3 linked regions of the Drosophila melanogaster genome follow. The protein of the gene in region 2 interacts with the protein of the main gene of each other region in a pairwise test. Each region holds a gene or a part of one and is shown on either strand. Other genes may lie near its edges. The genes, in order: stum, RhoBTB and CG8292.

What was found.
Region 1: the proteins of RhoBTB (region 2) and stum interact in a two-hybrid assay, tested with the Drosophila melanogaster proteins (one large-scale study listed by BioGRID).
Region 3: the proteins of RhoBTB (region 2) and CG8292 interact in a two-hybrid assay, tested with the Drosophila melanogaster proteins (one large-scale study listed by BioGRID).

The regions. Positions count from the first base shown.
Region 1 is NT_033778.4:21,669,405-21,680,335, forward strand, and holds the start of stum (stumble), read left to right. Parts: upstream 1-5,496; 5' UTR 5,497-5,898; intron 5,899-6,669; exon of another isoform or gene 6,670-6,925; 5' UTR 6,926-7,110; coding exon 7,111-7,922; intron 7,923-7,984; coding exon 7,985-8,452; intron 8,453-8,520; coding exon 8,521-10,931. Other genes in the region: CG42379 (uncharacterized protein), read right to left, coding at 1-67; CG42381 (uncharacterized protein), read right to left, coding at 67-76, 133-289, 351-414; NC2alpha (negative cofactor 2alpha), read left to right, coding at 843-884, 1,092-2,075; CG15676 (uncharacterized protein), read left to right, coding at 2,325-2,873.
Region 2 is NT_037436.4:20,374,381-20,388,269, reverse strand, and holds RhoBTB (Rho-related BTB domain containing), read right to left. Parts: upstream 12,029-13,889; 5' UTR 11,669-12,028; intron 10,529-11,668; exon of another isoform or gene 10,431-10,528; intron 9,840-10,430; 5' UTR 9,811-9,839; coding exon 9,622-9,810; intron 9,559-9,621; coding exon 9,455-9,558; intron 9,389-9,454; coding exon 9,191-9,388; intron 8,959-9,190; coding exon 8,422-8,958; intron 8,360-8,421; coding exon 8,101-8,359; intron 8,036-8,100; coding exon 7,922-8,035; intron 7,858-7,921; coding exon 7,771-7,857; intron 7,701-7,770; coding exon 7,617-7,700; intron 7,556-7,616; coding exon 7,313-7,555; intron 7,249-7,312; coding exon 6,978-7,248; intron 6,724-6,977; coding exon 6,572-6,723; coding exon of another isoform or gene 6,549-6,571; intron 6,479-6,548; coding exon of another isoform or gene 6,388-6,478; 3' UTR 5,872-6,387; downstream 1-5,871. Other genes in the region: fbl (fumble), read right to left, coding at 1,416-1,746; CG5498 (uncharacterized protein), read left to right, coding at 4,247-4,717, 4,770-4,989, 5,051-5,260, 5,330-5,775; Ide (insulin degrading metalloproteinase), read left to right, coding at 12,783-12,850, 12,909-13,043, 13,101-13,371, 13,427-13,655, 13,706-13,889.
Region 3 is NT_033779.5:8,213,708-8,219,915, forward strand, and holds CG8292 (uncharacterized protein), read right to left. Parts: upstream 4,311-6,208; 5' UTR 4,193-4,310; coding exon 3,980-4,192; intron 3,918-3,979; coding exon 3,267-3,917; 3' UTR 3,144-3,266; downstream 1-3,143. Other genes in the region: CG8360 (uncharacterized protein), read left to right, coding at 74-293; CG8353 (uncharacterized protein), read left to right, coding at 711-780, 965-1,407; CG8349 (uncharacterized protein), read left to right, coding at 2,279-2,636, 2,696-3,132; Snx6 (sorting nexin 6), read right to left, coding at 4,704-4,797, 4,863-4,972, 5,147-5,164, 5,409-5,591, 5,655-6,099, 6,163-6,208.

The sequences.
Region 1 (10,931 bases), on a different chromosome or scaffold from region 2:
GCTGTTGCTCCTTTTGGTCCAGCAAGTCTTGAATTTCCTTCGGAGGCCTATACTGCGGTATGGACATTATTTGTTCCTGCAAAACGAGTTGATAATAGTGTATATGGAATAGAGAAGTTGGCTACAACTCACGACTTGCCGGTTGCGTTCTTTTCCTTGGATGCGTCTGGTAGATAAGTCTTCTCCAAATCGATTCCACTGCAGCAAAGCGATTCCTTGTGCCACTTTAAACAGCACTGGCGCATTGCCTCAAGGACATCCAAGCACTTGTCCTCCTGGTAGTGATTCTCTGTAACCGAGTGCAAGTCAGCTTACATAACCATGAAAATGGAGTCACCGGCGGTGCTTACTGGTCAGACAGGCTTGTATGCGGCAGGCGTTCGGTTTGCAGGGATCCTTGCGAGTGTCAGACATGTAATCCTGCCCAGAATTCTTACGATATTAAATCGCTCTTGCAATATGTGAAAAGTACTTGGAAGTGTTCTGCACTCTTCTTCTTCTTGGCGGTTGTAGTCATTCACAGTGCACGATCAAGGTAGCCAGACTGCGCGACGGTCAGCTGTGTAGGAAACCTAATACATCAAAGCAAAATAAAAAACAATCACATAAATAACAACAAAAAGAAATAACATCTCTTATAATGTACAAAAATTTTTAATCTTTCAAATTTTGATATTAATACCTTTTGCTTCCCTGTGAATACCCCGCCTGCTGCGAGAGCAACTGCCATTCACCCATCGACGCCGACAGTTGGGCACCAAGGAACTGTTCTTGTGTGAAAAACACACACACATTTGTTTTATTTCACTAGGACTCTTGACGATTACTTCACAAATCGGAAAATGCCATCGAAAAAGAAAAAATACAACGCACGCTTTCCGGCGGTAAGTTGAAACCACCGATTGGCGACAGGAAAGCTCCAGCCATTTGGCGGCCGTGAACGCCGAAGATGGGTTATCAGTTTTCGTGCATGTGTACATACATATGTACATACACGCCTCGCATAATCAGAGGCTCAAAAGAAGTAGAGGAGAAACCAAACCGGTGCGAGATTATAATGTTTCCAAACCATTACCATAAACTCCTTGCAGGGTCGCATCAAGAAGATCATGCAAAGCGACGAGGAAATCGGGAAGGTGGCCCAGGCGGTGCCTGTTATCATCTCACGCACGCTGGAGCTCTTCGTGGAGTCGCTGCTGACCAAGACGCTGCGCATCACGAATGCGCGCAACGCCAAGACGCTATCGCCATCGCACATGAGGCAGTGTATCGTATCCGAGAAACGCTTTGACTTCCTCAAGGAGCTGGTCCGCAACATACCCGACATCAGTGTGGCCGAGGAGGCCGCCTACAACGAGGACGATGTGTTACGCAGCTCGCCAGAGGAACAGTATCCAGATTCAGACACGCCATATGATCTTAGCCTGCCATCGACGTCAATGCGCTCGCAGGCGAACGGCACAGCTGCCTACATGCGCTCCATGAGTCTGAACAACGGAGCCGGATCGGGCGGAGGAGCCGCAGCCACCAAGCGGCAGTTTCAGTCGCAGCACTCCACCCAGGAAACTCCCACCACCAGCACCACCCTGCCCGCCAAGCTGGCCCGCTCCGGGTCCATGCCGGCCTACACGCCACGGGGCAGACCGCCCAATCACCTCAAGAAACAGTCGGTGCAGCTCGATACTGCCATACCCGCCCCGATCTGCAACTACGAACTCAACAAGCCCATTGTCAAGATCGACTACAGCCACGTGCAAATGCCGACGGCGAACCTGTGCACACCGGACGCCTCTGATTCTGGGTCAGGATCGGGCGCCGGATCTGGAGCTTTTAACTTCGACATAGCTGCTCCGGTGATCAATATCGATCTGACGAATATCGTGGCCGGTGGAGCACCTGGCAGTGGTGTGCCCCCCGCCTCTATTGGATTACCAGCGGCCACGCCGGGGGACAACAATAATGTGAACCAAATGGCTGGAAAGAGCAGCGCTCCCATCATTCCAAAGGCCACAGCGGCATCAGCGACCCCCACTGAAACCGTTTTCGAATTAGACGAAGACTATGACAATATTTGATTAGGATCTATGTGAATGCGCTTTTAAATTATTGATACATTAATATGTACTCTAGGTCTAAGAAATCACAATAACATTTTTTGCAAAATAAAGACCATGCTGGATTTTAAGCTGACGCAATGCGGAGTACTTTAAATAGAGAAAGAAAATTTATACATTCTAGCAGATAATGCTGTTTAATTTGCATACGATATTAAATCAGTTTATCTTTGAATTAGATGTACTAAACAAGTTCAACAATTATTGAAAATGTTTGCATTCATAGACACCATAAAAAAGCCGCCTCTGGGCGGCCGAAAGTCATTTATGCCCATCCCAGAGGCCAAGTTAGTTGACGATGTCGTCAGCTACATCGCCAAGCCAGAGTTCTATTCGACTGTTCCAGCGGCATTGAAGATGCAACGCCTTTTCTATGTGCAATACAGCGAACTGGCTGCCAAGTTGGAGACTGACCTCACAGCAGTGTTAACCCGTTTGGAGGCTGCCAAAAATAATTTGGAATTGGTGAGGAGGTTCATAGACAATCCTGACAAGGAAGTTCACAGCCTCGTGCAAATCGCACAGGGAGTATTCAGATGGGTGAGCATACCGCCAGTGCAAAAGGTTACCCTTCAAGTGGGCGCATCTCTGCAAATGGAATTCGAGCTGTCCGAGGCGGAGGAGTTCATCAAAAAGGACATCACCAGCCTGGTGAAGCAGCAATTGCAACATGAGCACGATATCGACTATCTGCAGGATCAGGTGAACACGATTGAGATGAACCTAGCCGTATTGTATAAACATGAAGTGGAGAACTAGAAGCATCCCACCATCCTTAAAATTGCTAGTACCTTGTAGTTGCTTATAAAGACATTCGTTCTAAATAAGTCTTTATTGTCTAAATGCCTTAATTTCCAACGAAGTACAGCTCTCCCTTGGAGTTCCCCACTAATTCATTCATTACAATTACATTATTAGCAGCCCGGTAAAGAGGTCAGAGTATCGGGACCGTAGGATCCCAGACTGTGCCCTACAAAATGTGACCTTTATTACCGAGCTCGGCTATTTACAAGCCTATACACATCATAATAATTATGACTTAATTTCGCCAGGGAGCACCGCTTAGTCATTGTGTAATCCTCGGTCACAGCCAATTACAATTGAATGCCTTTCAATCCCATGCCCATGCCTTCGTCCAGCTGTTACTCCAGCCCTCCGCATATTCGCACACGCAATCTGCCAGCCACAATTGATATTAATTTGTGCCCGATGTGGGTCAACCCATGATGTAGACTCCATTCCCTTCCAAGGATACCAAATTATATGGCAAAAGGACAAAACTGACCAGCAGATGAGCCACATATCGCGTGGGAAAATCTTATTGCAAGCGAATAAAATTACCCAACCGCTCCCAGTGAGCAAAGGTGCAGTTTTGAATTATATGAATTTTCATCCATGGGCTTGGCACACTAGATTAGGGTCAGCACTATTCCCGAATTTTGATTAGCCAAGCCCAAAGTCGAGATTAGATTGCTGCGCTCTCTCAACCAGATCAAGTGAATCCGCCAAAGAGTTTGGGCTCGGCTAATCGAAGCCCCTTCAATTGGGGGAATCAGATCTGCATCTGCACACCTGCACTCGTGGACTCCACGCTGTCCACCTGTCTTGAGTCATGGCGCAAAAAAAAAAGAGGTTAGAAACAATAAAAACAACTTGCGGCGCGCCGCCAGTGCCAAGTTTTCATGTCCAAGGCGTATTTATGTCAACCGGAAGTAGGTTTACTGACCCACGTATACCCGTGTGGCTGGCCAAACGTGGACTTCGGCTTTCTTCGGTGGTTTCTTCACCTAAACCCGACTGGTCAGTTGCCGTGGAGCTCCACGGCGCAGGACGATGTATAAGAAGGTATTTGCCCACGGCGGATTAGTTTTTCTACGAACGGCGAGTGCAGTGCATCGGATCGATGCAAATGCGCGTTGAATTTTTTGGGTATTCAGTTTTTTATTTGAAAATCTCTCACCTTTTTTTTTATGACAATAACTCTACAAGTAACGGTGCATTAAAAATTAAAACCAAACTGCCTAAAATCGGATAGAAATCGTCGGATATATCGCAAACATTAAAAACTTCCAACTCGGTTGTGTAGTGAAAAAGCCCAAAACAATTAACTCGTAGATGTCTCTAGGAATTCCCCGACTTGTGACTCCGTGTGACTCCACTGGGGGTTCGAGTTGGACCCCACAAGGGGCGGGTTTTTGGGGGCTAACACGACATTAGCCAAGGATTTCTCCGGCACTGCCACTTAAAAGTCCCCCCGTTCCGAGGGATTCGTGGCTTTGGTTTGGGTGGTCTGTGTTTGCACACATACCTGTCTTTAGGCGTTATTGCTGCCACTGCCGTTGTTGTCTTGATGTTGCAACAGTGCCCGGCTGGCCAAGGAGTTCGTAGCTGCGGGCCAAGTGTTGTTGACTCCTAGCCGCTGCACAAGGCAACGCGGAATTTGTTGCGGTTTTGACCCTATTCCAAAGCCAAGGAAAGTGCAGTGTACTCGCCGAGGGTCTTATACTCACTCAGTCGAGTGCAGGAAAAGCGTCCTTCTGCCGAAGCCTTTTGCAATATTTATGGGCAGAGACACCTTTCACACAGTGATTAAGTGATCCTAATTTTTGGGCGACGCATAACTATTTTTTGACATTCTAGCGGATAAAATATTCAAACACTTAAAATAAGGATATATTTACTTTCAATACTAAATCAATAGGCGTATTTTAAACTGATTTTTTTGAACACAGTAAAGGAAAGTTTTTATTAATACCTATCATTACGTTCAATCAGAGCTCTTATGTGCAATCTCCAACTCCATAAAACTGCATTAAAGTGAAATGAGCGAAAGTGTTCATTGAAATACATGCGTGCATTCAATAGATACAAGTGGCATTAAAGTTATGAGGCATCCCGAAAAGTATGAAAAATTAGCTGACTGAGCTTCTCGGTGGCAGGCAGTGCGGCGTAGAAGTACAAAAGTGTTGGAACATCGCGTGCCACAGACATACCAACAGGTGTCACAGCCAGCCGGGGGAAACTGGGGGAAGCAATCAAAAGTTGTCTAAGAGGCAGAAAGAGCTGAGAAAGAAGCACACGCCGCACAGATGAACACAACGACATGCAAACGGCTAATGCAGCCGCCTCGCTAGGCGGCGAAATGCGGAAAACTCGCGGAAAAGTCGCGGCGAATTGGCGCCCCCGGTCGCCTTTTCTTTTCGGCTTTTCAGTTCGCCAGTCTCGATATCTCAGCGGGTCTGCGTGTGCAAACTGTTGGGGCACCGAGTGTGTGTGTGTGTGGGGGGGGGGGGCATTGTGTGCTGTTTTGGATTTGAAGTGTAGGCAATATTTCTCTTGAAGGCCTCCATTTTGCTCACTTACCGCTGGTCGGCCATCAGTTTAAGTTAGGCAGCGGCCACGTTTCGTCGCGTTTCCATTATTTGTTGCGGCTTTTCAGCAAATACATTCTATTTCCGAATTAGACTAAACTTAAAACCCAAATGTAAATTATATAATGCGCTCCAGGACCAAACTAACACAGTCAGTGTGGACGTGGCAGGTATTAAAATTCGTTATTCAAGTGTGACCGAGCGTTAATGAGATGCAAGAAAACTGCGTGTAATGCGGCAAGCGATTAAAAAACCAATTCGCAAATAGGAAGCTTAAGCCGCCTGGGAGCCGGCCAACTCCCCCAAAACGCGTCATGGCCAAAACAAAACGAAAGGAACGAAAAGGAGCCGGCCAAGTCACTTCCTTTTGGCCCAAAGTGTGTCACCGAAATTCGAGCGGCGGGCCATAAAATGTAGGTTAAATATTAGGCAGAGGAAAATCAATGCGAACAAAGGCCATTCATTCACACCTTTCCTCCACCTTCCCCCCCAAAACCTTCATGGGCTACGTCATTTCGCTAAAATATCTGCGTACCCAGCCGCACAGCTCCAATTAAACCATCGCCTTCTTCTGGTGATAGGATAGTCTCAGCCCGCTGGCTTCCACATCTGCCGGGTCGTTCGACTTCAAGTGCAGTCACTAATGCGGCAATTTGCAACATGCAACGCCGGTGCAGCCAGCCAAGCCGAAGCCATCCGCCCAAAAGCAAATCCCCATCCCCATTCCCCCCATTCAAGCCTTTGAGGCCTCCTCATCAAGTTATGCTCTCGTTAGCGCCAAGACAAGCGTTTGGGAGTTGGGAGTCCGACTCGGATTCGCATATAGCAGCAGGTGCATGGCATACCATAACGATTCCGATTTCAAATCGGTTTGGTTTCGGGGCGGCTTTATCAGCGCCTCGCACGCAGCTATTTATAGTTGAATGTGGAGTGAAATGGCATTAGAAAATAAAGCCGTGCAGTAATAATTACTCTACTATTTTTGCCACAACCAGTGATGGAAGCGGACGTATCCGGGCAGTTGTACCTAATTACTTTTTTTTAATTGCTGATGAATTTAAATTACTTTACTCAAGCTATTAAAAATTTAGGATATTTGAAAAAAGTTACTTGGTATGAAGACAGAAATTACTTTTATTATTATTTTTAAAAATTCGCCCAGGTAAACATACTCAATACCCTTTTCCATCACTGCGAATTGGCAATGAAACCGGCAGCCCTTCAGTTTCGCTCTCCGGTTTTTGGGACTGCCTACTCCGTGCTCCGTGCTCCTCGTTCCGTTATCCGTTCTCCGCCGGTGAAGGCGTCGCGTGTACGTCTCTCTGACATTGCAAGAGGGCCGGAAGGTCTCGCTGGTCGTCTGTCTGTGGAATCAAAAGATGTGCGCACATGGGTGTTGTGAGTGATTTTTAAATACATTCTGTTGCTTCGAATAAACAGCTCCTGGCGTCATTGGTTTTGTGGCACTTAAACTAAAGCGAAGGACGAACGCGGAGTGTCCTGCGTGGAAATCGGCTTCCAACTACTGCAACCACGACTGAATTTCGCAAAAACGCTGCAACAATGGATAGGAAATCATAGTGAATGCATGAGGGCCGAAGATCGGTTAGCACCCATGTCAAGCCATGCAGCAGACCCTCTCGTACTCATCATCATCGCCATCCCCATCCCCGATGCCCATGCCATCAGCCTCAGCCGCACAGACGCCGCCACCGAACCCGAATCTGACACCGAATCTGAACATACGTCCAAGTACGAACCCAATACCACGACCCAGATCCACTGGAGGCGAGTCCGCGTTCCAGCCGGCCATCATCCCGGTTGATTATAGCTATCGCACCCATACCACCCGCTCCATTCTCTCCGCCCAATCGATGGCACCCTCCACGTTCGCCTCCAATCAGAGCTTTGTGCGCCAGCCCTCGGAGTCGGATGCCCAGCCGTATAGTAGCCTCTTTGGGGATCCGGTTCCACCGCCTCTGCAGCCGGATGATTACTTCGGAACAGCAGCATTTGAGACGTTGCGAAATGGGTCTGTGGAACTGCCCAGCTCCGAGGAGGATGCGCTGGTGGCCGCCATGGCGCTGAACGCACTTATTCCTGCGGCCAGGGAACGCATCTTTCCGAGTGTCCCGTACTCGAGGACTCCCCGAGGATCCCTACTGCCTTATCTCCAGCCACCCGACATCCAGATTCTGCCCAACTCGAGCGGTGGCTCCAGTTCAGAGCAACTGGGCTCACCTAACTATCGGCTCCTGGCCCCCGATGACATTCTGAACAAGCCGGACGTTTATGATTTGGAGAACGAGGTCGAGGAGTACACCGTAGTCGGTCAGAGAATGTCTTTCGATGATGAGGAAGATGAGCCGACGAGGACTCCTAGCCAAGCGCCCGCCAAGTTGAGTGTGTCCAGCATCACGACGGAGGACCACAGGGGGTTGGTATTTGAATACACCAATATATTATCCAAACTAATCCTTCGTGATTACCTCCTCTTAGATTACTCAGTGACTCCTATTCGGGAAGGGATTGGTTCCGTCCGGCGCCACAGCACTTTCCAGAGTTCACACGCATCCCACGATTGCGGCCCAGCTCCAAAATGATTATGTCGATGAAGCAGGATGAAGGACCTCTCTCCCCACTGGCCACCATGATCCAGGACATGAACAGCTCGAGCAGCGGCGGAGAGGAGCGAGTGGCACCCAACCAAAGCAGGCCCGTTAGCAGGGACGTTGTACTCTCACCGAAGCAATATCTGGAGGAACAGTTGGGTCTGGAGAGAGGTAGCCAGAGGCAGTCGCTGGAGGACTATAGAATGCCACCTCCACCGGCAGACCCGCCCCCTTTCCGTAGAACTGACTTGACGGAGCAGGATGACAGCCGCAGTGTGGAGCCTGAACATAGCTTAAAGCGGGAAATGTCCCCAGTTATCATCAGGGATTCAATACCTATGGGCGGAGATTATAGGTAAGGTTATCCTGTGGAAAATATCCATAAAGATAATACATATATTCAAGTTTTTCTGTCCCCTCTAGAGTGGAGCAACCTCGTCCACACAAAAAGACTGCTTTCACGATACTTTCCACGGGACAGGCAGCTTCTTCTGCTCCTCGGCCTCCACAACAAGCTCCCACCAGAGGAAGACACGCCTCCATTCAGTCGACATCGACGACTACCTCATCGCCGGCCGGCAGGCCTCAGATCAGTCCTCGACGGAGATCGATCTTTGGCTCAGAGCCGCGACTGCCTGAGCTGCCCTCCGCGCTGGGTTACACCAGTCACCTCGTCCACCAGACCACGGATGACTCGCCACGCCCATCGGTTCAGTTCAATATGAGTGGACGCCACAGTCGCAGCAAGCTGGCCATTCCGCAGAAGGGCATTCTCCAGCAGCGGGACTCGCTGACCTCCTCCATCGACACCTTCACGCCAAGAGCCCAAATAAGAAGGGGTTCCATTGGCAGGGATCCCATCCGCAGCTTGCCCTATGGCCAAAAGATCAAGAGCATGGAAACACTGCCCCTGATAAACGATCAGCATCGCAGCTCCATTCCCCGCCTGCACTACGGATCCACCATGGATCTGAGTAGGCCGGAACCTGCTGTTTTTCCGCCCGGAGCACTGCCGCGACCACTGAAGCCAAATCTGAATCCCACGCGAAGGCAACGCGGTCTCCTGAAGATCATTAACAAGGAGGAGTCGCTCACCCACAACCCGCCGCGTTCCAACTGGTGCAGTTTGGATGACCTGAGCCGACCCTCCTTCGATGGCACTCCCAACCAGGCAAGACGTCGCTCCAGCTCGACCTCACCGGAGCGTCGCAGTTCCACGCAAACGGTCTCGGATCGAAGAAGTTCCAACCTGAGCAGCGTCACCGCCACCACCTCGGATTTCAGTTTCCGCCGACCAACGCTCTCCACACTGCCAGCAGCTCAGACACTGTCCAGAATGCGTCGGAAATCTGTGCAGGCTCTAAGTCCGAATAGGATACCCAACAGGATACCAAGCTTTGGACAGCGAAGGCAGTCCATCTATCAGAGGGATCAGGAGCCCAAGCCGTTGAGCAGGCACGGAAAGATCGCCAAGCCGAGCACTCTGTCACCCATAATTGGAACCCCAAATAAGGACAGCAGTTCGGCACAGAGTCCAAACCACAGATCCTCGCTGATGGCCGATGCGGTGGATACCCCATCCGAGGTTTCCACGCGACGGGACTCGGTGTCCCGCATACCGGTTCGCAAAAGTCCAGACTCACGCTCCAGTTCGCCACCCAAAGACTTTGGAATCCCTGCCTCTGGACGAAGCTCGCGGGCTAGCATTACTAGGTCCCCTTCCAGAACCATGAATGCCGGCAGTCGATCCCCTTCCAGATCCATGCATCCCAGCAGAACGTCCTCGAGGGAGAGTGGAAGACCTGGAGACTCGAGGTCGGCATCCAGGGGCCCACCTTCTAGGCCTGGTTCCCGATTGGATCAGATCGGTTCCCGAATGGATCGGCCCAATTCACGCTTGGAAAGATCCAGCTCACGCGCTGAGAGATCTAGTTCCCGGGCGGATAGGCCCAGTTCCCGTTTCGATGTGTCCAACTCGCGGGGAAACTCACGTGCAAACTCGCGACTGAGCATCAACTCTTCCTCGCTGCGGTCGTCCAGCATTTCACCCGCTACCATGGCCAGGAACAGGAGCATGCGTGCCACAACACCCAGTCGCCGAAAGTCCATCTCCTTGAGTCCAGCCAGTGCTATGATGGGTCGCCGGAAATCAATCAGTCCCGATGCCGTTGGTCAAAACCGAAGAGTTTCTAGTCGGGGTAAGCCCGAGCCTCCAGAGATTCTATCTCGAAGGAACTCCCGCTCGCGCATTCCCACCAGATCGACTAAAGTTGCCTCCAAATCCCCGCCGTCTTCGTCCAAGAAGAGATCGAAATCGCCGGAGAAACCCAAAGCGATGGGATCTACGCCCAAGAGCAACAAAGTTGGAAAAGGGGTAACCGCTAAAGGAAGCCCCAAAGCGAAGCCGAAGATCGCTGCAAGTGCCAAACCAAAGACCAAGACGGAATCCTTGATGAAACCACCAGTGAAGAATGCAAACAAAACTCCTGTAAATGGTAGACCAACCACAAATGCAAAAAAGCCAGCCAGCAAGGCGATTTCCACAAAGGATGCAAAAGTGGAGAAGGGAAAGGAGACTGGGAAGTCTGTGGCCTCCAAGAGCAATGGTAAAGAAACCGAGTCTTCAGTAAAATCCAGTAAATCCCAAGTCACAAAAACTAAACCACCTGGGGGAACAACATCGGAGGCCAAGAAACCAGCCACCACAAAAACCCATGGCATAACTTTAGAGAAAGGGACAAATGGAACCGATCCCGTTGGAGGAATTCCTCCTTTGGCGGCTCAGGTTGGCAATGCAGTTCTGCAGGCGGTGGAAGCGGTTCCTGCGGTTACCA
Region 2 (13,889 bases):
AAATCGAACGCCAAAGGCTAGCTAAATGAATAAACTAAATGCTTGAAAGCGGTTCATGCTCATGGTGTCAAGATCAAATTGACGCCAAACTGTGTCACACTGCTGCCTGCTAACGGTTGCTTTATCGAGGCGAGGGTACTTCACAGAGTATACTTATCGGATACAGTGGATATCGTCTAAGCAGAATGCTTTTATATTGTAATAAACCAAAGGCTTCCCCGCATTGGCAATGTCTTCGCACCGAATTGGACTTTGGAAGTGCACGCACCGCTCTTGATGATGAGATCAAAGATCGATGTAAAGTGTAGCGCCTCCGGCATTGTGTAACCCTTGGAGCTGTGGCGCTGCTGGTTTATTCCGCTCGACTATAGAATCGGCTGCACATAACACCGACGTGTAATCACTGGTAAACGCGTTTTATTTTATTTGACTCTCCAGTCAGTCAGACCAGCCCAGCCCAGAGACCCGGGCAGCGCGTATGTCGAGGTGTATATATTCCACGGAACTACGGCGCTTTCAATTCGATTCGTTGCGTTGGGTTTCGTTTCGGGCAGTATATGGCTATGGGTTCATTACGAGCACAGTGCGCCTGTATACTACGTTGGTTTGCCTAAACCGGAAACATTTCACTCGGGCGCCACAGGCAAGTGCGACACGTCGATGGCTCCAACTGACTGACTGACTGGCTGCCGGATAATATATTAGCCGTAAACAGCTGAACACTAGCGAAATGAGCAATCGACTCGAACTGAACGCATGTGCGCCGCGCTCGGGTAAACACACCTTTCTTATCTGCCCTCCGGGCACGGCACGCAGCTTATCGGGCGCTGGTATTGCTCGAATTGACCAGGGAATTGACCGTTTGGCGGGCTCAAGCAATTTTTTTTATAATACAGGTGTACACTTCAACCGAATTTGTCCGATCTTCACTTGTCGATCCGCAAATCGCGAGATCCCCCAGGACGTTTATCTAATCAGTTGTTTAACGTGTAGGTCTATTTCAGAATGCATTACTCAGAATTTAACAATCTTAACTATAAACTGGATGGAGTCAAGAGGCCGGCGGTTTTTATCTTCTCGCCAAGTACTTCATTTTTAGGCAAATGTTAAAATATTATTCCCTACAATACTAAATACTAAATAACTAGCTGTGGGTTCATTGGACGATACCGATGGCCACTGACTATGGGATTAATTGTGGCCTTAAAATCATATTAAATAAAATCATATTAAGGGTTTTTTAGGGTTTTAGTGAATTTACTTATATCATGCGACGCATTTCAATCCATCTTATTCCTCAAATCAGGCGAATTAAAAGCGTATTTAAGCACGATTTAGCACGATTTTTACGAAGGAGACTGGATTTGGCCAATCAGATATCCCAAAACCTGAACACATATTATCCGCCAACTTACACATAAGCTCATCGCCTTGGGGAATTTGGATGGCGGGATGCGGTAGTTCGGTGAAGGCGGAGGACGAGGAGCAGTAGCTGTTGCACCTGCTGTGCTCGAAAAACACTGGTTCCGCCTCCAAATCGATGGGATCTGAGCTGCTATCCGAGGCCATGGCGATGGACTTGCTCTTGGAACCCAGAGCTGAGCGCCACGAAGCGCGCCATGAGTTTCGTTTCGCTGAGATCACAGGTGAGGTTGGCGGACTGGGGCTGGTCGGTTTCTTATCGTTATGCAACTTGAATATTTTCAAATTGAATGAGTATTTCGAGTTGCGCGTGGGGACTTTCATTTTATTTGCTTGATTATTTTACAGCTTAGCGTTTCGCTGACACACAACGGATTTACAAGTTCAGAGGCGGGCACTTATCACAGGCAAGTTGGATTGTGGAGTGTGGAGTGGATTGAAGCTTGTTGGATTTGGACCATTGGCCACGAAAGCCGCGAAAGATGTTTGTTTGCTCAATTCATAGGTTTCTAAATGGCGATGGCGACAACTGGTGATCGCGCGATGCGATGCGATCCGATCCCATCCGTTGTTGACCGTTCGAAAACAGACGTGAAACGCGTTTGAATGAAATTTTACTGCCCGAAGCCGCGACAGCAACAGCAGCAGCGGCGGACGCGCTGCGGCTTTCGCATATGTATAAGCAGCTCCAAACGAACTGAGCGCCATGTGTAGTGGGTATATGACCGTGGAGGGGGAGACACCCATACATATATAGCCTCACCGCATTAATGAGCGAGCCGAACCGAACTTAATCATTACGAAAACACATTTAAAACACTGCCAGAGCAGCGTCGACCCACTGTGAACCCTACGACGTCTGTGGATCGCCATTACGTCCGTCCGCTTTTGCATTTGCCTCGGCGACTGGCCCGTGGGTAACTTGGTAAAATTCCCAGCCAATGCATAGTCAATCATCTGGCCATTCATGACCGAACCTGTGCCTTGTGGCACAACACTCTCTCTGCAGGCGCAGCAGGCGTGATAAGAGTGTGAAGAGCCCTGATAACGCGGTCCCAAATGGTTCAAATTCCAAGCGGAGAACCCGCCCGAAAAAGCTGTGGTCCGAAGAGAGCCGAGATGGCAATCATTCATACACTAGCCTTTGGGGAAAACTACTAGCCATTCCGCAAGTGCAGACACTGATTTCGATTATAGCTTAAATGGACAAATGTGTTTCGCGAGTTATAAGTTAATCTTATCATTCATGGTGTTGTGTACCCACAGAGCATGAAATCTGGCAGCGATACGAGTAGGGTATTTCGATGCACTGGTTTTGTGTAAATAGCTGGCAGTCATTGTGACGTTAGTCATATCTGTGACAGACCAGAAAATATTATCACATATGCATGCTTTTGCTTAGCAGGCAGTTCGCGCCACTAAAAAAGTGGTCAAGCTACAGAATTAAACCAAGTCAATAAACCCTCAACCTTGCTCGCAATAATAAACGTATGAAAGAATTTAAAAGCACACATTGCTTGGAATATTTGTTTACTATATAACAGAAATAATTTTAAAATGAAAAACCTAAATTAGGCCAACAGTTATTAGAAATTTATCCCGCTAAATTAACATCGCTAAATCTAAATTCGAGTTTATGCTCTCAGTCATCATGTGATTACTTTCTAATCACTGTTTGTGTTTATCTCGCAACCGCAAAGCTGCCCACTAAAAATAGGTTTAGAAAGTTTATAAACAATCAACCATATTTATCAAGTCGAACAATTGAATTGTTAGATATATTTTTGTATAAATCAGAGATAGTCTTCTGAGAACTTAGTTCGTGTTTAAATACCTTATCTCTTTTTGAACTTATATGAACTCCCCAATTCCTTCTCAAATCTATATGTTCCTAACAACTTATAGTGAATTAAAACTCCTTCTGTATTGCTTTTGGTATTTGCCAGACGCAGATGCAAGCTTCCATAATCTTGCGAAAGCACCACTTACCCCTCGCCAACTGATTGCGCAGGTTAATCTGTTCGTCCTCCGTCATGATGAATTGCAAGACTCAATTGAACGGAGTCAGTTCACCGCAGAACAATGGACTATCCGGAGAATCGCACGCACTTCAAGATGATCCGACAGATGTTGCAATCGGGGGCCTTTCAGGGGCAGCGAGGAGATCTAGGCGGGAATTCGTGGCCAAGAACGTGTCTCAGGGGCTGGGATGTGCTGCTCTGCTCATTGATGCTGCGGAATCCTGGGGCGGCCAAGTTAGCTACGTGTTCCGTGCATTCCCGGAGTCCTCTGGAATGGTGCTGTACGCTCCAGTGCCAAGGCGAGTTCCACGCACACTCAACAAAAGCTTCAAAACAAAATTTTCGTCAGAAGTTTTTAATCTAGTAGCCTGGATGGAACAGCTGATTTGCGATGTGGAGAAAGTTAATCGATATCCAGCTTATCGAAAAGCGCAGTGTTGGTAAGCGGTAGAATTTGTCTTAAATTGTATACAATACAAGCAGTATCTAAATTAAATTACAAATTTTTAATTTAGCAATTGGATCTTTAATTTATTTTTAAAAATTTGATTCGAAATTTACATTTTAAATTGAGTATTCCCACACATTTTATGTGCACCTATTAGCTTTAAGTAAAAATCTTAAAAAAAAGTATCTCATTTGATTAGCATTCCATTAAATTAACGGCCCCTTTTAAAATTTGTTTACAAGCTTTGTATACATTCAATCATTTTGCAACACCAGAAACTAGCTGATTCGACATAAACACACAATCACAAAAGACGCGCAATTTTTATGATCCGGATTAAATTCTTGTTTTAAATATGGGCCTTGGAAGCGGTGACAGGGTAAATGAAACCGACCACTTCAGCTTTCCCGCAAGCTGGCAGGACAACGGTAGAATGCAGGTGCAGTTCGCCATGTTTCGATCGAGGCATCTGGATGCGGAGGGCTACGACGCAAAAATGAATTTCTGGATGGATTTAATTGCAAAATATCTAAAGTTCAGCGGACGACCAATCTTCAGCCTGCGGGATCTGCAACTGCTGTTCATGAGGGGTGACCAACTGCCCGCCTGCCTGGACACCGTGATATCCGAGATGCAGCAGAGGAAGCAGATCCGCTCTCGCAGTGAATTTGAGTACGATCCGGCCAATTCCTGGGGTGGTTGGCTCGTCAACAGCCTGGTAAAGCGCCCCCTTTCATGGAGCTGGTCGAAAATCAAGCACAGCGTGGTGACGGAGGACCTGGAAGCCTCCGCTTTAATTGAATGGATTCACCTAGATGCCTTAAACGTATGTGATATCATCCAATGATTATAGGAATCCTACATAATTAACTTTCCAGAACACTTGCGATCTCATCGCCGAAAAAGTCCTGTCGGAAAACACTGGAAAACTACTGCACTTTAATGCTTTGAAAACGCTTTGTAAGACTCACGGAGTTCCCACTTACTCAGACAAAGATCTATGCGCTTGCCTGTTGGCCTTAAATGTTCGTCAAATCTTGGGCCTAGAATTTAAAGTAGAAAAAGGCATACGCCAAATTCACTTGATCAAAATACCAAGCAAGTTTAAAAGGTTCTCAAGTAGTTAGTATGTATTATTAAACTATAATTTTTGTTATAGAAAAACCTGGCGACGATCTTAATATAAGCCAAGAAGACCAGGCCGTCCACAATCTTCAGAATACCCAAGCTCAGTTACTCAAGCAGTTGGAGGACCTAGAGGAGGAGATCAAGGTGAACGATGACAAAGTGCGCCAGTACATGAAGGAGAACAAACGGCAAATGGCAAAAACCTATCTACGAAAAAGGCATCTCCTGGAAAAGAATCATGGTAATCTTTATTGTAGACACCCCTTATCTGGCTTTTGTGAATAATGTTCTTTGAAAATTCTCTAATTAGAACGTCGCAGTCTTGCCCTGCACAACATCGAATCTCTTCTGTCCAGTGTGGATGAGGCCCAGAACAGTGGCGTTGTTCTGGATGCCTACAAGATCGGATCAAATACCTTGAAGAAGGTTCTCTCGAATTCTGGATTGAAGTACGACAATGTCGACGAAGTATTGGCCGATGTGCGGGACACGCTCGACCAGCATCGGGAAGTTCAGGACATAATGTCCAATAGCGTTGTGGAGAACGCGAGCCAGGAAGATGATCAACTTGAGCAGGAATTGCGTGAACTGGCTGGAGAATCTGCGCCGGCTACGTTTAGTCCACATATTAATAACAACCTAAGGGCGGAGGTTGTGATTACGGACGAGGAGATGATTGCCATGCTGCAGGATCTTGAGGTGGAGGATGGTACTGTATCGCAATCCAGTGTAAAATCCGTGAAAACTGCGATATAAATGTTGTGTTTTTTTAAATGGCATGTGAACTGTTATAATTCTAAATTTATTACATTGTAAAATGCGTTTTTATTACAAGGAAGAAACGTGAGATTTGTTCGTAATTGCTTTTTTATTCTATCATTCTGTACAAAATGCGTCCTTATCGTAGAGAATTGCTTAGAGCTATGGCTAGACAAATGTTTCCGTAAGTAGGAATTCAAAAATATACATACATACATGTCTTAGGTAAAGGTACAAATATATGGATATACACATGTCTGCGTCCTTCGGCTGTCCACATTCCATGGGAGGGATCGTGCAGAACAAGTTGAGTGTACACCGATATATCGTAAGGCAATACAGCGAAATGCTTCGCAGCGCCGAGGTGCATGTGCATACATACTCGTCTATGCTTTGCGTTTTATATAGGCGTATAAATATAAGAAATCCGAAGCACTCTGCAGTATGCTCCCTTGTTCTGGGTCGAGCTACGTTGGACTTATTAATCGTTAATCACTAAGGCAAATTTGCGCTCTATATATTGCGTAATGTCAAAAGCAGACGCGCCACGCCCCCTCCATTTCCAACCCTTATCTCCCCGACCACTCTAAATCGTGCCCTTGAGGTTTGTTATGTATGGATTTGGAAAAGTATCAAAATACTTAAAATCGTACAGATAAAACAGATCAGGACCGGCAGGATCACAATGAAGCGCAGTGATCTGGAATCAAAGTATCGAAGTAAATCATAAATATCGAAGAATCCTTACTTTGACATTAATATCAACACACCTTCCTTGCCCTAGGGCTGGGTGTCAGAGATTCAGGTCCATGTCCGCCTCCAGATCAATGTGGTTGAGCGAGTTGCCGGCGCTGTTGAAGATCTGATTATCTGCGTTGCTGTTATCCGTGGTTCCACTCACATCAGCGCTTCGCTTCGATTTACCTAACAGCCAGCAAGAGAATACTTTGACCAAATTTCGGACATTAATATTATGATGATGGCGTTGTCGTTGTAAATGAGCAAGGAAATCAACAGGAAAGGAAAACAATAACGAGACACCTAGCTACGAATACAAACCGCCGTCATGATACATACATTGTCCTCTAAAGCTAGCTGAAACTAAAACCTGAGCTGATCCTCCGACTGGAGTATTGGACTGGGATGTTAAGTGTGGTGGGATGTGGAGCAGATAGTTCCGTAAATGTAGCAACACTTACCGCCCGTAAAGCACAGACAGCCCTCGTCATCGCTAGGCGATTCCCGCCTCGAAGTCTTTAGCTTAAGCTCCTTGTTCAGCTCGTTCAGGCATCGCTGATAGTAATCATAGTCTTTCAGATACCAGACTGGAGGCCATCGGTGCTCGCGCAAGTACTCCTGATTATCCTGGTGTAGCGCCTTTAGGCCCTTGAGTGAAAACTTACAAATAAGGTTGTAATTGACGCACAGGTATGACATGCACCACTCGGCCAATTGATGTGCGTTGTGCAGCTGAAAAAAAAAGAAAAGTATTGAATTTCGGTATATCATTTTTAACTGATCTCTCTATGTGTACCTTCACTGGCTCGAGCAGCTTTAGACAGTGATCCACCGTTTCATTGGTTTCGTTCTGAGAAATCAGAGTGAGATCTTCAATAACGCGGCATTCAACCAGGTTGAGCAGCCGCGGCAGGCAGAGTCTATTGGCCAGCTCCAGCAGATTGAGGCACTTGACGGCCGAGATTGGCGGAATCTGGTCTGTGTACAAATAGCACAGCAGCTTGTGGAATGTGTAAATGGTAACGCCAGGGAATACGATCTAAGGTAAAGGAAATTTATGACAACTGTCCTTAGTTAAGGGGTATTGTGCCCGTTCCTACCACATTGGAATGAGCCTCGCGAAAGTCGCCTAACAACATTGCGCGCATGACATCACAACGACCAACCAACACAGCGCGGTGTGCCTGCAATGCAGCAAAGGTAAGTGTAAACGATTGTGCTTCATATAGTAATTCAACAGACATATGTATGTACCTTCATTAAGCCATCGTCCAATTCAAAGGTGACATCACTGAAGCACCCGTCACCAATGCAATGCCGTTCCATGCTTTCTTTGATGCGCTAATGTATGTAACAGAAAATGGTTAGGATCATAAAATAGATATCATGACATCAATGCGCTCACCAGGCAAATGTGCGGATTTGGCTCATCGCTGGAGTTCTCCATAACGGTTTGAGGCCTGGAAAGTAGCTGAGTCAGTTGCGGCAGTTCTAATAGATCGGCAGCTTCTCGAATTTCCTGTGAGAATTAACAATATATTAGTAGGTCAAACTTAACACAGAATACATTGAAACATTTCCTACCTCGATATTATCGCAATCCTTGTCAATGGTACCGGTATAAATAAATCTCAGGCACTGGTGCAGAGCTTGCGGAGAGATAAGTTTGCTAAGGGTGACAATCGTCTGCAGACCATTTACACCCCGATGGTTTTCCACGTGCACCAGGCGAATGCTCTGCAGGACCGGATGATGCAGCTCCCTGTACAAATCGTTGGACCGCTTAGACTCCATGAGAGGCAACGCCTGGTAGCTGGAGCGGCGCTTCAAGTGTTCCCACATTCTGTGGGTGCAAAATGTATTCAAAGTCAAATGGGCTCAATGCAATCGGGAGGCAGCACCCACCGTTGTGTGCGTGATTCGTAGCGGATCAGGGCCTCCGTGTCATCGTTAAAGTCCGCAATGGTGGCCTCCCCGAATGTTGAGCTGACCATGCTAGATTCGCTGCTGCTCCGCCCGCCCATATCAGTCAGCTCAGTGCTAAGCAGGCGCTGGAAGATGCTGGACGCGGCGGCTAGCATGAACCTGTGCACGGCGAACTTGGTGCCACCCGCCCCGACCAGGACGAGGTCGGTGTAGGCCTGCGACAGGAACATGTTGTAGATGTCCTGCCGATAGTTGCCGACCATGACGGTGACCTCCGGTGGTGGTGGCTTCGGTGGCCGGAACGGCGCCTGCAGCAGGGGCTTCTGCACCTTCTTCAGGTTTGTCATCCAGAAGCGCTGCTGTCGGCGTGCAATCAACGCGGATCGGATGGCGTTTTCAAACACCTCGTTCACCCCAAAGTATGTGAAAACACTGGTCTCGTAGTACGCCACTCCTAGCTCTTTGGCGACGGCACGCGCCTCATCCGGCATAACCAGGTCACTCTTCAACGCGGCTCTTTAAAAAAAGATTATAGTAATGATTGCCTTTAATTTAATCCAATTAAATAGAATATCTCTGAACATATAAACAGATTAATTTGCTATAGTGGGCTAAACATTGAATTATATCTTTCGTGTGTTCTAAATATAATTAAATTATGGTGAATAATTGAATTGATTTGATTAAAGAACAACATTAAAAAGTGAAAGCCACTCAAAACCGGCTGAAACCTGCTAGCTATGCATACCGAACAAAGGTTCCCTTCTCGCCGAAATACGAGAGATAGTTCTCGTCGCGATACATGTAGCGCAGGTCGTTCTTGCAGCCAACTAGAATGACGGGAACATCCGGACAAAAGCGGCGAATTTCCGGATACCACATCATCTTGCAGTTGCGCAGGGAAATCGGACTGGCAATGGAAAAGCACAGCAGCACCACATCGGATCTGTAGGTCAAGAAGGCATCTTATTGATTCGTATGGCGAAAATGCTGCTACATGAGCTCTACACACCTGCCGTATGCGAAGCGCCGATCCTTGTCGTGGTCACCAAATGTGTCCCATAGGCGAAGTGAGACATTCACTCCATCGACCACCTCCCATGATCGCTCGAGTACCTTTAATGTATATGGATTCGGTTAAATGCAATAACTATGACTCTTGAGAGAATGGTAACCCACATCCTTATATATGCGATACTGGTCAATGGCCCACACGGTCGGCACGTGCGTAGAGAGGAGCTGAGATAGCGAGACGTGTTTGTTGCAGGCCCTCGCGCAGATCAGTCGCGTCTTGCCCACGGCCGTGTCCCCCACCAGGACGCACTTCACTAGCTCTTGATGCGGCTGCTCGTTGTCCATTTTGGGCATGCACAAATAGCAGAACCAGCTTATGGAATCTGAAATGAAAATAGTATTGGATTTTTGTGTGATTTAATAAAATGTGGTCTCTCCTGAGGAAAACATACATAAATGAAAATATTGAAAATAAAATAAACTGCTGACACCCCTTCTAATATAAATAAGTGAACTACGTAGAATAGCTGCCTTAATGTTTTTCAGTTCTGATAAGCAGATGCTAAATTCTCGACTAACAATCGACCTGCTAATTACTAAGTTACACAAAGTGTCGTCTGCATTAACGTTTTGTGTGAAGGCAAAATGGTTTCATCACGTGATTAATTTGATTTTAATCTAGATACCTAAGTGCTTCCCAAAATAGAAATACATAGTTTGAAATAATCTACGCACTGGGAAAATTCACTTCTACGTTCAGTTATACGTAAAGCCAGAATAACTGATCTACGCCAATAGGCAATTTTGTTTGTTTACTCGCTGCGCACTGTGAAAATAACTATAGTGAAATCAGATACCAGCTTCGTATCATTTACTTAGAAATCTATTGGATCCCGCAAACGGAGGCTATAAAACCAGCCAATTCATTGACCCCCACTTGATCCACTTGTCGCGGAGGAAGTTGGAGTAAGTACCTCGGATACGGAGCGATAAGCTCGCTCTCTCTCTTTGAACCTCTAATTGAACTTAATTGGGCTGCACTAAAAATATATCTGCCTTCAATCCTCCGGTCGCAATGAGCACACTTCTTCCTGCGTGGCCCACGCTTCATGGCAATCCATTGTCCGATCTTCTCGACGAGCTGCAGTCTGTCTATTTTGGGACGCGCTTTAAACCCAAAACAATAACCATGCAATTGAAAGTACTTCAAGTGGTCGCCAGAAGCGATCGTTGTTCTCCACAGGAAAGTCTTTTGTTCGTGCGAAGACTTTAAGTTACTGTCAATATTGTGGATCGTTGACCTCTGGAATACATGGCAATCGGTTCCACTTTTGCTTTGATTTTCTATAATTTATGTGTTCAATCTATTTAGAGCCATTTGAATTGACTTTATGAAGGTTAAAGAGGGAAGAATATTCTTCAAATATTGAAAAATTAATGTCTGATATAACTACTATAAAATACCGTTTTTATTTTTATTATTTCCTTGTAGAAATATTTTTAAAATATATTATTTAAGTGCCCAGTCTTAAGCAAAGTGAAGCAAAAACAAAGAAACAAAGAAAGAAGACGTTGTGAAGGTAAACAACTGTTAGTTTTTGAAGATATCAGGTATTTTGAAAATGGAAAGATCGTATTTTTTAGTTTTTAAAAGGTATGTTCTTAGTTTTCATTGTAAAATATTTGCACCAACCATAATCTTGGGAAATAAAAACAAAGTTTATTTAGGGACTGGTTCCAATTTATTTCTCATGCGAGGTGTGAACCTGTGGTTTAATTAGACATTTTGATTCGCGAGAATTCGCAGAACACGCCAGCATATTAGCATTATTAACAAACTCTGCGCTGTTTTGCCATGTCTGGGAAGTCTCCTTTCTTCAATTTTGCCAGCTTATTGATTTTCTCGTGCCATTGCAAAACGGCCACAAATACCGTTACCAAACCACACACACATTCAGACTCGCACACAAGGAGGCACAGAAGGGACTTTTAGGAGGGGATCTTGAAGTTCGGACTCGACATTCCGGCAAACTTGACCCATTTAGGGGAGAAAAATCGTTGAACACTTGCACTTTTTCTCGAGGAAAACGCATGTTGGTGGGTAAACAATTAAAACCTGATTAGAACCTAATTCTTCGACTGCTGGCCGAAGGGGAGAGCACAGAATTCCCGAACTCATAAATCTCCGCGGACGTAGCACTGCAGCACTCACCTCTGAAAACGCCTGATCCCACGGATTGCACGAATTGCACGGATTTGCCTCAATGTTCTTACTTTTGCGTATTGCACTTATCAACACGCACACCAAAGCACGGCATTTTACAACAATTTGCATTTATTTCTGCACCCACACACCGATGGCGACGCAGTTTGTGGTTCGCAAACACGCGAAATCTTTACGGCTGGCACAAGTTTAACATCGCTGCGAGCTGGTTGCCGACGGATGGCTGCGGATGAGCCAGTGCTCGCTGACCAGGTGCACTATAAATGAAATTAAAAAATAATAAATTGCAGTTACAGCCCGCAATTCTTCTACGCGCTTTGACGGCAACCGGCCAGTGTTGGAAAACGGCGGCGGTTGGGCGCGGAGCACTGCCAGATTGACGGAGAACGGGAATTCACGGAATATTTATTTTTATAATGACTGTTATCAGGGTTGCCCAATATTTATTGTATGGTCGTTGGAAAAATTTCAAGCATTTGAAATACATTTTGAAATCGCCATCTATCCTAGGTAAGGTGAATATGCAGCTTACTTTAGTCCAAAGTTACATTAGAACTATTAAAAATCATCACTTTAAACTTATTAAGTCTTTCGTATTTGAAAATATGGCCTACCACTTTGTAAAATTTCTCCAATTGGGAATTTCAAATCTGGAACCACTCACAAAATAAACGATCTGGCAACATATTAAACTAGTTCTGCGTGCGCGGTGAGTTGGCAGCTCTGCGAACAGATGATTGTTTGCTATTTTAGTTGTTGCGAAACTAGTTAGAATTTATTTTTCGGTCCAAAAAGCGATTAAAATTGATTGAACGTGTAACCGACCGGCTTGGAAATCTACTCCTCCCACTCTAAGATTTCTTGTGCGCGCTACGTAAAGCCGGAGTAGCGTCGTCAAGAGTATTTCACAAACTCAATGTATCTTACGTGCAGAAAATCGATTTTTGCCTTAACAGCGGTTTTTGGTCGACGGTTGGCAGCAATTAAACAAATTTCCGCTAACGGGCACCACTAAATCGCATTTATTTCGCACAGGTCAAGTGCGTTGAGGGCCAGCATTTCAGTAACACATCGAACGATTGGCACGCTTATAAAACCCAAGATGACAATAGCCGAAAGCTCGCAAAAGTCCGCAACTAGGAAGCCAGACAGCATGGAGCCCATATTGAGGTAAGTGCACGTTACGCATCTTAGAGGTCGTCGAAAGGCAATGGTTCGTCGTTTATAGGCTGAACAACATTGAAAAGTCGCTGCAGGACACACGCGACTACCGCGGATTGCAACTAGAAAATGGACTAAAGGTCCTGCTCATCAGCGATCCCAACACAGATGTCTCGGCGGCAGCGCTGTCCGTGCAAGTGGGGTAAATAAGATCAAATCTTCACTCAATGTTTGTTTTTAATGAGTATACCCATGGCAGCCACATGTCTGATCCCACGAACCTGCCTGGATTGGCCCACTTTTGCGAGCACATGCTGTTCCTCGGCACCGAGAAGTATCCGCATGAGAATGGCTACACCACATACCTTTCGCAGAGCGGCGGAAGCAGCAACGCCGCCACCTATCCCCTGATGACCAAGTACCACTTTCACGTGGCGCCGGACAAGTTAGATGGAGCCTTAGATCGCTTCGCGCAGTTCTTCATAGCCCCCTTGTTCACGCCCAGTGCAACTGAGCGGGAAATCAATGCGGTATGTGAAAGCATTCATTAAAATTTCTGACAGAAATAGGACGCTGTCATTGCAGGTAAACTCTGAGCACGAGAAAAACCTGCCCAGCGATCTGTGGCGCATCAAGCAGGTGAACCGCCACCTGGCAAAGCCTGACCATGCCTACAGCAAGTTCGGCAGCGGCAACAAGACCACCCTATCCGAAATACCCAAGTCCAAGAACATTGATGTGCGGGATGAGCTGCTAAAGTTTCACAAGCAGTGGTACTCCGCCAACATAATGTGCCTGGCTGTCATTGGAAAAGGTTTGTTTTAGTATAGCCGTTTCTGCCAGCAAGTAATCAATCTCTGACAGAATCGCTGGACGAACTGGAGGGCATGGTATTGGAGAAGTTCTCCGAAATAGAGAACAAAAACGTCAAGGTTCCAGGTTGGCCACGCCACCCCTACGCCGAGGAGCGCTATGGACAAAAGGTGAAAATAGTGCCTATCAAAGACATCCGATCGCTGACGATAAGCTTTACCACAGACGATTTGAC
Region 3 (6,208 bases), on a different chromosome or scaffold from region 2:
TTACTTAAATTCTTACATACTTAATTATCCTCTCCAAGTCCTTTCGAATAACTAAAATAACACATTTTTACAGTGAAGGCAAACGCGACTTTGTGGCTTGTGCAGTGGTGGCCCAGCAGGATAATGGCTTCACCACGCCTTGTGGCGTCTGCCGGCAGTTCCTCTCGGAGTTCGTCAACGGCAAGGACATCCCCCTGTACGCCGCCAAGCCGACCAATCTTCCATTGAGGGTGCTCTGCACCAGCGTTCTCCAACTGCTGCCCAACGGCTTTAGCTTCGCCAACGGAAAATAGAAAAGAATATCCCAGCCCAGCCCAGCCGGACAGGGTGCAATCCATGTGCAATAGTTTATGTGACATCCCATTTATAATGTTCTGTAAACCCACCCCTCGTTATTTGTTGATTGAATAGCTTATACGAGATACGGCATCTGTTTGTGTTTTTCACTGCTCTCCGCGATCGCGATCGTTGCTTATCAGCCTGATACCTGGTTCTCTCTCGCGCTCCGAATTGGCCAAATGTTTATTTCTGTCACCACTACACGGCGGAGAGTGCTATCAGCATAGCCAACTTCGGGCGCCGCCGTCACCACAAACCGTCCATTTGCCATCGGACGTTCAAAGGAGAAACACACGCACTCAACTTGCTAAAAATAATTCAAAATTTAAGAAAATAGGCGTGCCTCTATTGACCAAAAGAATTGAACTATAATGACACATCTGACAAAAAATTTCGCACGTCCAGAAAAGAATGAGGAGGTTGTGACCTTCGGCAGTCTGGGTAAGATTCCTTCTCGAGATTGAGAACAATCTGAGAACAATCCTTAAATATCTACGACTGTCAATTATTCAAAGTGGTTCTTATGATATTAAAAATAATAATGTTATAAATTAATACTCCTTACACTCATTGACAAGATCTAAGTTTAATTCTTGAGCGTGGCGTGCATTGTTTCGACTTCCAGATCCGTCGGTTCAAGAACTTCTGACAGCTGCTTTTCAAGTGCGCCAGCGGGCATACGTTCCATATAGTGGCTTCAAAGTTGGGGCTGCTTTTCGGGCCAAGGTCGATGGAAAGATCTTCACTGGCTGCAATGTGGAAAACGCCGCCTTTACGCCGGGCTCTTGTGCCGAGAGAACGGCCATTGCTAAGGCCGTAAGCGAAGGAGCCACCGAATTTTTGGCAGGTGCTGTTTTGGCCTACGAACCTAATGTATTCACCACTCCTTGCGGCGTTTGTCGTCAGTTTATACGCGAGTTTGCCAACGCGGATATACCCATATATGTGGCCCAGGCGATCGATGCGAGGATTGCTGAAAAGCAGGAACTTTTGCAGAGTGACGATCCCGTCATGTGCACCTCAATCTTTAATCTGTTGCCGAGCAGTTTTCACACCTATCGAAAGTAACGACCACTGCAGGCAAGAACCGAAAATAGGCAGAAGGTAGCTAGGTAAAGGTTGTTTCTCAACCCCTTGCTGCCTCTAATCAATATAATTTTGATCTAATCACTTGCAATAAAGAAAATTACACTACTTAGCAGTGTTTAATGTTTTTTTTTCGATCAATGAATAGGAAATGGGGATATAAATGCTGGAAAGATTGACACAGTGAAAGATTCTAGGAAAAGGTGTTTAATCGCTTTTGATTATATATCAAAATTAAGGTTATAAATTAAAGATATCGAATTTGGATTGACAACTGCTGACGTTAAGCGCAATGCAGGGAATGCCCCGATTTGTGATGACGTGATAAATGCACTCAACTTCTGATTCATAAACACCAAATTATTGTGAGATTAAATTTCGCCATTTGTATAGTAGCGAAAATAAGAAAGATCATTGTGGTAGTGGCAATCTTTTAAATCAAATTTATAAGGTTTGTTTCCAATTCCTTTGGATTCTAGTTTTTGAGATCATGATGTTCATACGAACAATAAGACAGACTGGCTAGACCGATGTCGCGATAAAGGCGCGTTCAAAACGCGTCCGAAACGCGTCGAAAACGCGCGAGCTTTTTCGACATTCTTAATTTGTAAAAATTTTAAACGTATTTAGTTGTTGTTGTTGTTTCATTAAATGCCTTAATGAACATCAACTGTAATAAATGTAATAAAAATTCAAATGGCGCTAAATAATATAATATAATCATTTTTATGAAAAAGAAACAAAAAGAAAATAATTTGTTTGACATTAGTGTTTTACAAATTGCCAACAGATACAGCATTTGCTTCTGGCTTTCAAAAATTGTTTTCGTTTTAAAAATTTGAAGTTCTGCAAAATGTCCGAAAAGCGGAAGCTCCTTCAGCGCTACATGCGGAACCTGAGCGACCTACAGGATGAGCTGAAGCGAAAAGAGCTGGAGAAGAAGATGAAGGAACTGGAAATGTTGCAGGCGAAGCTAGCTCGTCGCCAGGAGCAATCTGGCACCAAGTGCGCTGGCGGTAAGATCAAGAACTTGCGCCAGAAGAATCTTCGAAAGGTACTGGGAAAGTATATGATGACCTTGGAGGGATTTCTATGCGAGCTAGCACGCAGGGAGGCGCGTCTAAATGGCGACAGGGGTCGGGCTAGTGAATCCGAAAACCTGCCACATCCACAGATGTTGGAGGAGTACACAGTAGCGTTCTGTGCTGTTGGTAAGGCTTGGCTATAATGGTGAATCCTCTGCCATTGGTAATCAAACCGTAATCTCCAGGTGAGGATGGCCGGGAGCTGCTAGAGGCGGCTCTTTCTGCCCGTCGATGTGCCTATGCGCCCTACAGCAAATTCAAAGTGGGAGCAGCCTTCCGTGCGAAGTGCGGCAGGATCTACGCGGGCTGCAACATCGAGAACGTAGCTTTCACTCCAGGCAATTGTGCGGAGCGTTGTGCCCTGGCCAAGGGTATCAGCGAGGGCGAGAAGAAGTATACGGCGGGTGCTGTGGTAGCCTATCACCCAGATGGGTTTACCACACCTTGCGGAGTCTGCCGGCAGTTCATTTTGGAGTTCATCCAAAATGATATTCCTATCTACATTGCCAAGGCTCCGCCGCCGGAGCAAGAGAACTGCATTCCTTCAATTCCGGACGAAGCTGAAGTGCTGGTCACGTCCGCCTACCATCTGCTTCCCCACAGCTTTAACTCATTTGAATGAAATTTTCATCTAAATAATATCCAGAATTTATTTAATGCAATAAAATTATTCGTTCTAATGTCAATAAGTATTGCAAATAATTTAAGTTAGCGATCTGATTAACTTGACAAAAAGTCAAAACAATGTGTAGAGAACTAAACGTATTTGATAACTGGTTCTCCCGATCCGTAGATGCCGTATTCGCTTTTCTCCGCAAACGGAGTGACTTCCTCGTGCACGAGTATGGGCTTAACTTCTGGATCGAATTCAACCCTTCGAAATTGTGGATCCGTGAAATTAGCGCGCACCTCGGTGACCATTCCCGAATGCGGCACTCGTTTGGTGAGGTTTTGAAACTCACAGCGTCGCTTTGGGCAATTATGCGTATTACCCTCGTCACACATTGTAGGATCCTCTTCGCGGGACACTTTCTGGATGGGCGGCATCTTCTCCGTCCAATTCCAGTATGTAATATTGTCGTGGGCAGCTACTCCGCCACACAAGTCCTCGGGACCCCAGCGCACATACGACAGATTGTATGTGGTGGAGGAGGGATCAAGGTACTTGCTAAAGGACGCCTCCGAACGGTCGATGACTAGCTTGGTGGCTACCACCGGAGTGGGCATTGTTACAGGCAATATTTCCTGTTCCTCCGGCAGCTCCTTAAGTACATACGACTCATGACTGACACTAGAAATGGGCTTCATCTTTCGCTTTACAAAGCGAAGGGAACCCTCCTCAAATGGTTTCATATACTGTGTTTTCATGTTGAGCGAGGGATTTCTAAGTGCGTTGGGATCGTTATACTGGAACATCATGGTCACGTTTTAGTTTGGTGCAACATATCTCAGCATATCAATCAACTCACCTGCCACACATAGTTGGCCATGCACTCAGAAGTCGGCTTCTCGGACAGCAGCGGATCTTTTACATAAATACCCTTATCCGTAAACTTGGCGTTCAGCTTGTTACCCATTCTCAAGTCTGTAATGTGGCGATGCCCTCGATAGTACGAGGTCCTCCAATCGGGATCTGTAGCGCTGGCAGGGCGCTTGTAATCGAAGACGCCGAACTCATCCATGGCTTATGGACTTTGAAAATCTATCTAACACTGACAACAAACACAATTTTCAGCGACAATGGAAATGTGCACCCCTTGAGACGCTTAATTTGGAAACCCTTGATGTTGCCCAGTTACCGAATAGACTCCAAACAATGCTAGTATACTGACTGCTCACAAACAGCCAGCCTTCTGTACAATATTTCTCGTTTATATTCTGCTTCAAATGCAAGTGTTTACAATATATGTAGTTGTAGTTTATGCTGTAGAGAGGAATGCTTGTTTGACAAATATAAAAGCGCTCTGTTCACAAAACAAATGAATATTCGTTAATATAATACGTGGGCTAAGATAATAATGTTGCACTCGATTTGGCCTGTGCAATAATAAACTGTTTGCTTAGCAATTAAACAATTGATTTACTTCGTCTCCCGGATGTGTGTAATCGATGAGGCTTGCGTTTCAATGGGGTGTGTAAACAATGTGCGGGTGACTCATCCTTCTATTCCTTGTCTACTTCCGGCTCCCCGTCTCAGGCAATCTCTTTGAGCGCTAGCAGTGATTGGCGCAGATATTCATACTGCGTCTTGGCATGCTTGATCTCCAGCTCTGAGAGCTCGACGAGGCTGTGTTTAGAAAAGCGATAATAAAATGCAGAGCATAGCAAAATGTTTAGCAGCTGCTGACTCACCTCTTCTTGAAAGCAGCTACCCGTCGGTTGCGGAAACCGATCAACTCCTCCTTTCCACATGCAGACATAGATTCGAATTTTTCACAGGCCTCCGCCTGGGCAGTCTCGGCCTAATTGGAGGATAAACAAAAACGATTATATACAGGGAACACAACAAGTGGGCCACAGCAAGGGCATGCTAAAGTGAATACAACAGATTGAGCAACGGTGGAGCGCATGCAGCATTTACGTGGGGTGGCGACACATCTACTAAACCGACGGTTAAAACGTTAAATGCCAAATACCTCTTGCACCTCCAACGGCTGCAGAAACAGAACCACAAACACGCACAAAAAGTGAAGAGGGAGGGACAGGCAGATCAGAGAGTTGTGAGGTTGTGTACGGTAGCAATAAAATACAAGAACGCAAATAATTTGTTATTTGTAATTAGTGAAGCGTGAGAATTAATTGACCCGCTGGAAACTTTTTGTAGGGAAAACAATTGCTCTTTAAACGATCTGAAACATAGTTCTGGAAGAACTAGTTGTGATCATCCCTCAATCTTACCGCATGAACATCCTTGTTTTTGGAGCGAGCCTTCTCCAGGTTTCGATTGGCCGCTTCATAAGCAGCCAAACACCGCAGTCGCCGGATAAGTAGAGCTTTGGCAGCGTCGCTATCCCGCTGATAGTAGCGCAGAGTGTCGCCCAGCTTGAGATCTTGATCGCTAGCCACTCGGGTTTCCAGATTCTTTAAAATATCAAGAGGAAAATTTATAAAATATAATTATAGCGAAAACGCAGCGTAGCGCACCTTGATCCTTTCAAATATCTCCGCTGTCTTGGCCACAAACGTCTCCACATTTCCCTTTTCCGTAGTCGAGAGCTGCGTCAACGCATTCGAAATCTTCTGATGCGAGTCGCCTACATCCTTGTGGCGTTGCGTCATTTTCTCCGTCCTGAGTGCTGCCTCGCGCAAGTGGCCGTGGTACTCGGTAAGGAACTGCAGCTCGTTCTCAAAGAAGTCATTTACATCCCGAACCGTGGCGCTCAACAAGATCTCGTCTGTGGTCTTGCCCAGGGACTTGACAAAGCCGCCAAAGATGGCCATCTTCTTGCGTGGCTTAGCGCACAGATCTTGGTCGTATTCCAGGAAAACCTTCAAGTGCTGATCGACGCGAAAGACGGGATGACTAGCAAGGCGGCGCAGGAAAACCTCGTGCATGGCCACCGTCTTCTTGAAGGTAGCTAGGTACTCACTGGCAAGTAAAGATGTACATTAGTATATAAGAAAATGACTATTTGGATTAATTGACACTTACGCCTCCAGCTCTGACTTCATCTTTTTGAACTCCTCTTTGGTCATGT